Rattus norvegicus: one gene and its partner. The protein of the gene in region 1 interacts with the protein of each later gene in a pairwise test. Links are inferred from orthologs where the notes say so. Each region holds a gene or a part of one and is shown in the gene's direction. Other genes may lie near its edges. The genes, in order: Lrrc7 and Nqo2.

The links.
Region 2: the proteins of Lrrc7 (region 1) and Nqo2 interact in a two-hybrid assay, tested with the Homo sapiens proteins (2 studies listed by BioGRID). The two-hybrid records come from large-scale screens. The link is inferred for Rattus norvegicus from reciprocal best matches to the Homo sapiens genes LRRC7 and NQO2.

The regions. Positions count from the first base shown.
Region 1 is NC_086020.1:249,804,905-249,807,999, reverse strand, and holds the end of Lrrc7 (leucine-rich repeat-containing protein 7), read left to right. Parts: intron 1-871; coding exon 872-979; 3' UTR 980-2,552; downstream 2,553-3,095.
Region 2 is NC_086035.1:31,140,592-31,145,182, reverse strand, and holds the start of Nqo2 (ribosyldihydronicotinamide dehydrogenase [quinone]), read left to right. Parts: upstream 1-1,520; 5' UTR 1,521-1,542; intron 1,543-1,612; exon of another isoform or gene 1,613-4,054; intron 4,055-4,591. UniProt on the Homo sapiens protein: The enzyme apparently serves as a quinone reductase in connection with conjugation reactions of hydroquinones involved in detoxification pathways as well as in biosynthetic processes such as the vitamin K-dependent gamma-carboxylation of glutamate residues in prothrombin synthesis.

The DNA.
Region 1 (3,095 bases):
ATGACCCTTAGCTAGAGTATTGCAGGCTTTCTCTGTGACTAATGCTGCTGCTTTATTCCTAAGACATGGATTCACTGAACTGTGTTTAATTTAAAAAAAGTGCAGATATTGGAAACAATAGTAGCATTTAGTAATAGATCATTTTAATTTAAAGAATATATAAATCAACTATTTTTAGTAGGTCAAAATAAGATTAAACAGTGCCATAAGTGTTCACTTACACTTGGCATGATTAAAATATCTAACGTGGAGCTAGAGAGACAGCTCAGTGGGTAAAAGCCACGCTTCTCTTACAAAGGACCTGAGTGTGGTTCCTGGCACCCATGCCAAGCAGCCCATAACCACCTGTAACACCATTTCCAGGGGTCCAATGCCCTCTTCTGGTCTCCACAGGCTCCCACGTATATATGACCAGCATTCACAGACACATACACATACATGAAAATAAAAATAATAATTTAAAGATATACTGGTGAGTTGGTGCCAGTAATAATGTCAACTAAGTGCTGCCTCAACTAGGTACGTGTACAGACGAGGCTGGGGCATGGCTCTCTTGCAGAGTGCTTGCCCAGAATGTACCAGGACCTGAGTTCTATCTCTAGCACAGCAAAACCCCAATGACAAAACAAAGAACAACACAGTAAAACTGAACTGCTGTGTCGTAAGTCCACCTGACTGATCCTACTCAGTAGGACACTATGATCACACACAAACAAAGAAATACTGGGTGTGTGATAAATACTTGTCAAAGCCATTTCACTCTGAATCTTAAGAATCTTGTTGCTGTGCTCCTTGGAGTCCTGTAATCACAATGGTGCAGAGGGGATAAACGGTTTGCATGGACTGACCTGTTTTATTCCTGTGTTTTCAGGCAAATGGACACAGTTTTGTGCATATGGAACACGAAAAAGCTGTTTTACTACTGAAGAGCTTCCAGAACACAGTAGACCTAGTTATTCAACGTGAGCTCACTGTCTAAATGTTTTTATAAATAGTGAAGATATGTCAGGCCAGAGATAATGTTTAAAAATAAATTTATACATAGAAACAAATTTTGCCAGTTGCTGGACCAATGGCAAACATCAGTGCCAGGTGTATAATATTGTACGTTAGCCTTGACCACCCTGGAAAATGTTACTTATAATCACGGCGTTTGCGCGGTTCTGTATCAGTTCCAGCGGCAGCCTCTGGCTGTGCATTGGTGCGGTTTTGTTTCTGTTTTTGTTTTTGTTTTTGTTTTTTTAAAATCAAATAAGTTGTCTTCTCAAAGTGGATTTCCTATCATTTCGGAGCACGGAAGCACACACAAGCTCTTTACAAGTTATGCTCTCCATCAGAGATACTGCCTCAAAAAAAATTGTATATAAAGAGTTGTAACCCCATAAAGTATTTCTAGCACAAGGTATATGTTGGCATATAAACAAAAAAAGAATATAGAAAAACGATATTTTCGTAAACATCTTGGACCGAGAAAGAAAATATATCTTAAAAATAAGACTTTACTATATTGAATCTTTTTCAATAAAAAAATTACATGATTACGCCTTATGGAAGCAACTGTACATAAAGTATAAAGGATTTATATTTGGTTCCACAGCCATTTGCTAAATTCCCACGGTAGAGTGGAATGATTCATAATTATCCATTAATCTCTGGGACCTGAGTAAAAACCGGAGAAGGTAAATCTGTTCAAGGCCTTTAGCTAATTTAGAGGACACGAGCAGACTTCAGAGACAGACCACAGGCTACTGCGGACTGGCCTCTTCACCAAATCCACAAGCAGTGAGTGATGGGTGGCGGGGAAGGCTTAATGCTTTAATGTTCTGTTTTCTCGGGGTTATGTTTACTATAAACTGTGGCCCCTGTGATCCCTTTACTGTAAATGTGGAACTTCTCTGTGTGCCGATTTATTTAATTTGCTACACTTTTAAATCATTTTAAATGAATTTTGGGAATTGATAACGTTTATTATAGAGAAAGACTTGTCAGAAAGCTACGGTGGTTTCAAAACTTTGGTATTGAAATATGAAACTTCAGATATGATTTCTCAGAGCTGTGGTCTACTGATATCATTAATCTTAATTCCTGTTTTGTTTTGTGGACAGAAATAGACAAATTGTTTTTTTTCTCTCCAAATGAAAAGTTTTAAGGAACATAAACATGAATTCAATTATACTAGAGAGTGAAAACAGCCTAGTTAATGTGCTTTTTGCACTCTGTTTCCCTGTGTCAAAATTCAAAATTTGTTTTATAATCCTTTAAAGTATTTCTTTTTATATTAGTCATTAATTTGATTAGAATATTAATTTAAAAATTTCAGATCAGCTTTCCATAATTGGTTGTATACATTCCCTGAAATATCTACATCACTTTTTTTATACAATAAATTTATCTCGTATGGTAGTGTTTAAATATTCTATAGAATTTTACAGTAAAATCACACGTGGATGTCACCAGAGCTCTGAGGATAATATTTGTAAGTTTGTTTTATGGGGACATTGAAAATATTGTATTTTTGTAGGATCTATTAAAATGAGTGTCACTTATTAGAAGTACAGTGGTTTCTTTTGGCATAGAATTTGTCACTTGGAGAAAAATGTTACTTCATTTTCCAAACAATACACTAGCTCTGGTGTTGATTTTTATGCCAGGATGACACAATACCATACATAGTCTTATAGACCTGGACAATTAGCTGCTGATTCTAGATTGGCCTTTTACACAGAAGCGACTATTCTGTGCATTTTAATATATTGAGAGCTTCTAATGAGAAGTGTCTTTCAAAGCCTAATTTTCTGGGTCAAAAACTCACAGCACATTACTATGGCGGATGTTCTAGGCTTAGCCTCCGCCAAGAGAAGCAAGCCAAGCTCAGAGCAGTGTGAAAGTTTGAAACACTCAGAAAGCAGCCATCAGGGCTACACGGCCTTCTACAGGAGAGGTGCAAGGCAGCCAGATGGAGGGCTCCCTGGAAGAGTTCTTGTGTTAGAGCATCAAATGCTCCTGAGGCCTTCAGCTGAAAGGATAGATCCCCCTCTTTGATGGATAACATTGCCTGGGACCTTGCTTTGACACTTCTTTCTATGAGGTCCAGC
Region 2 (4,591 bases), on another chromosome or scaffold:
CCATACAGAGTTCTATTTTATTCTGAAACAAAACATATGAGGTGAGGAGTTGAGGATAGGCTTTCCTGCCTCCTTGCCTGATATTCCTAATTCCACTTGCCCATTTCTGCAACATTAAAGTGACATAAATGATTAACTGGAAATCCCTTGAGGCAATGTTTATTATCGGTGCAGCTCATTTTGAGAGCATGACCCACAGCTGAAACTCAACATTCAATGTTGGTCTTATTTGTTTGCTGTAACTGAAACAATCCCAGACTGGTGGAAAGCTCTTAAGATTGTGTTCCTAGTGAACTCTCAACTTCTACTCAACTTACACCATTATAAACACCAACGGAAACCATTCTGCTTCTAGTCCCCAGTGGAAAGCAGCTTACCTAGAGTGCGTCTGTGAGTTCTTTTACTCACAGACGCAGTTGTACTCCACCCATACATGATCCCACAGGTGCTGGGGCACGTATGCCTGCAGCTCTACTACTAAATGTAGACTATCTCCAGGTCAGGACTCACCGGCAGCTCTGACCCTGCTGAGGAGTGCAGTAAAAATGCCATATTCCACCTCTTAATATAAGAAAATGGCAGCAGAGAGATCAGCACACCACCATTCCTTACATTGGTAAGATGTCCCTGTGGATAGAAAGCCAGAAAGCCAACAGCAAACACACACACACACACACACACACACACACACACACACACACACACAATTTTTCACCTAAAATTCCTACCAGCTCCTTTCCCCAGCTCTCCAACTACATACAGCACTGGCCCCAAGACTTTCCAGCTTTTAAGGGAGGTCCTAGGTCTTGCAACATTTTGTTTTAATTAACTATTTTGTTTTGGCCTATATGTCCGTTCCACTGTTTCCTCCAGTGATGACATCTGGCAAAAGTGTCTTACTGTGGTGTGATGCTGATAGGACAGGCAACGAATGCATCCCTCAACACAAATATTGTTTTTTAATTCTTAAATCTTTGCAACCACTACTCTGATTCCCTGTTCCTGTAATTTGCTCTTTCAGGAAACAGAATCATGAAATGCATAACCTTTCGGGATTGGATGCTCTTACTCTGGGAAATTCCCTGAAGTTTGAAGCCGGATGTATTCACAACTCATTTCTTTTTTGATTGCCCAGTAGTACACTGTGGGGCTTTTCGTGCTGTTTTGCCTGGATATATTAGTGCCTGTGAAGGATAAGGTACAAGGCAGAAAGGCGCCACTACCTATCTCCCAGCACAGGCTTCTGGCCAGATGCAAGGAGCGAAACTGGTTTTGCCCACAACCATGGGGCAGGAACTGCAAGGAGACTGGAGAGGAGGGAAGATTGAAGTCCAATGATTCTGCACTGACAGGCCCTAAAGGGAGTTGTGGGCGGGCTGTTGCCCACAAACGGCCAAAGGTCAGTGTGAGGGCGGGGCCGGGTGGGGAGTGGCCCTGGGCCCCCGTGCGCAGCCGCAGTGCCTGCCGGCACGCTATAGGCATTCCTGCCCTTGACAGTGGCTGTGTCGCGTTTGTGTGCAGTGTTCCCTCCAGGAGGCAGAGGTGAGAGTCTGTTCACTGCTTCCCTGGGGCATGCGCGCCCTTCCTGCAGGCAACTTTGGGGGTGGGGGAAATGCAGGACTAAAGAGGTCCCTTCCGGTTTTTAGCTTGCGTATTAAACTGTGGACCCGTGTTCCCAAGGTTCCTGGCACCTCGAGGCTTTCTTTAAGTATCAGCAGGCGCGTCCACATTGAGTCCAGGTCTTGATTAACGTTAATAGTTGCATTTTGTCAGCCCACTTCTGTATACTGAACAGTTGTGGGTCACTGCATATTTTTTACCAAGGGGTAAAAATAAAAATGAGCCGAGAGCAAAGTTTGTACAGGGTGCCTTCCCTTACCCTGGAACCTGAAGCAACAGCGGTTCACTCTGCCTTCAAGAACTCTGGCCCAAAAGAAATATCAGCTTCTATAACCTTAATGTAAAACTATCGGTTTCTGTAACCCGTAATTTCCGGAAATCTCAGTCAGAAAGATACAGAAGACTGAACTTTTGTGAATCGTAAATGCTTCCAGGGGTAGGGATGGGGGCGAGCTAGCGCACTCTGGGTAAAGATAACCTAAGTGAGCACAGTGCATCAGGCAGGCAATGATGTCAATATGGGATAACATATAAGCGGTTAGAATGACCACAATAGAGCCCACGTGTGTAGAAAGAGGCATGGAAAATGATACAGTGAAAATATCAAAATAACTACTGGAGGTTAAGACAAAATTATGCTTATCTCTAAATATCATATGGCTCATTTCACGTGGCTTGTAGGCTAACAACCACCCCTCCGCCCCAAACAAAACAAACAAAACCCTGGGTAACTTGCAATTTCTAACTAAGGAGAGTATCTGAGAGTGAAGAGCCTGTATCAGGAGATTGTCTCTATGTTCCCATTTCTTATGCTGGGAGAGTTGAGTAAGAGGAAATTTCAACCCTGATGCACCCAGCCAGCCACTCAATGTAATGATACAAATGTGTAAACTGGGCTGAGTAGCACAGATGGGGTGGTGAGGCATGAGGAGGTAGAAGACTGTAAAGTACACCTAATGGCACTGCTGTCAAAGTCCTGGGTCCACTTCGGGAATCTCAGGATGTGTTTTGCTCACCTGCCGTGGCCCTGGGAATCTTTGAAAAGATGTAACAACCTTGGTGCTATCTGCCTAAGGTTTTCTGTTACTCGCTGCATAAAATCTTTATCAGTCCTCATTCCCCGACCCAGATCCCTGGCTGTAGCACTGGCCACTCACTTCAAACCAGAGGCCAGCAAAATAACTTTTCTTGCTGTTTCTTGACCTCTTCCAGATCAGTTCCCATGGGGTCTTTACCCGACTACCTGCCAGCTTACTCTCCTGGACTTCTCTCTTGCTCCAGGTTTTTGAATGGCTAGCTCAATATCACCATTTACTCTCTCTGTTTAGACAACCTTTCTGCAATGGAACAGAGAGAGGAAATGTGGATTTGTGGCATCTACATAATGTTTAGTGACTGAGATATGAGAAAGTCCTCTGATTAGTACTCTGCTAGGGAAACTTTTGATCTGCTCTGTCAACATGCATCACTAACCAAGGGCAGAACTTTGAACTTTGTTTGACCTTTTCTAAGCTTTCCCCTAGACTTAATGAGTAAACAAACAGAACTGTGTCAAAATCTTGTGTCTCAAGTAGCCCAACAACATCAGAACCTAGTTTCATTTTAGCTATATTTCTCTAGTGATCAATGTGCCTTTTCATGTGCTTATTAGGCTCATCTGTATAACTTTGGAGAAAAATATGAATTGGATTGTTTGGTTTTTCATGGTTGATGTTTATCTGAGTTTTGGTTGTGGCTTTTTTTTCCTGCCAATAGCAGGAGATATTGTATCTTAGTTACTTTTCTGTTGCTGTGATGAAACAGTGGCCAAAAGTGACTTGTAGAAGAGTCTATTTTGACTTATGGTTTCAGAGGGATAAGAGTCTACCAAGGCGAGGAAGCATGGCAGCTAGCAGCAGCCATGATGACAGGAGCAGGGATCCCAGAGTTCCCCTTTAATCACAAGCAGGAAGCAGAGAGAGGGAATGGGAAGTGGGGTACGGCCATATAATCTCAAATCCTGCTCCTAGTGATATGCTTCCTCCGGTGAGGCTGTATGTCCCCATAATCTCTCCAAACAGCATCACCAAATGGGAACTGAATGTTCAAATACCAGAGATTATGAGGGTGCATTTCTCATTCGAACCAACACATCCTGCCTCTAGAAAGCTGTCTGGAGATGGCTAGCCAAGACAGTAATGACATATATGAGCCTCTGTGATGGTTTGTATATGCATGACCCAGGGCATGGCACCATTAGGAGGTATGGCCTTATTGGAGTAGGTGTGTCGCTGAGGGCGTGGGCTTTAAGACCTTCATCCTAGCTGCCAGAAAGCCAGTCTTTTCCTGTTTGCCACTGGAAGAAGATGTAAAACTCTCATTTCTGCCTGCACCGCACCTGCCTGGATGCTGCCACATTCCCACCTTGATGATAATGGACTGAACCTCTGAACCTGTAAGCCAGCCCCAATTACATGTTGTCCTTATAAGACTTGCATTGGTCGTAGTGTCTGTTCACAGCAGTAAAACCCTAAGACAGCCTCCTCGTGTTTGAAGCCCATTAGGAAGCACATTTTATCCAAAAACCTTTTACTGAAGGGAGGTGTGCTGGCCAACCCTAGGGCTTGCTTGCACATGCTAAATCCACCCAAGGTCTCCTAGAATCACATTACATTATAGCCAAGTGTGTGCGTGCCATCTTTCTTACTTTCTGGGCCACCCTGTGACTCTAGAGCAGTGCTTCTCAACCTGTGGGCCACAACCCCTCTGAGGTCAAAGGACCCTTTCACCAGAGTCATTTATATATCAGATTATCCTGCATATCAGATTTTTACATTACAGTTCATAACAGTAGCAAACTACAGTTATGAAGTAGCAATGAAGACAATTTTACGGTTGGGAGTCACCACAACAAAGGGTCACTGCTTCAGGACGGCTGAGAACCACTGTTTTAGATGGAAGACTGAAGCATGCCTTATTTACAGCTGAGGAA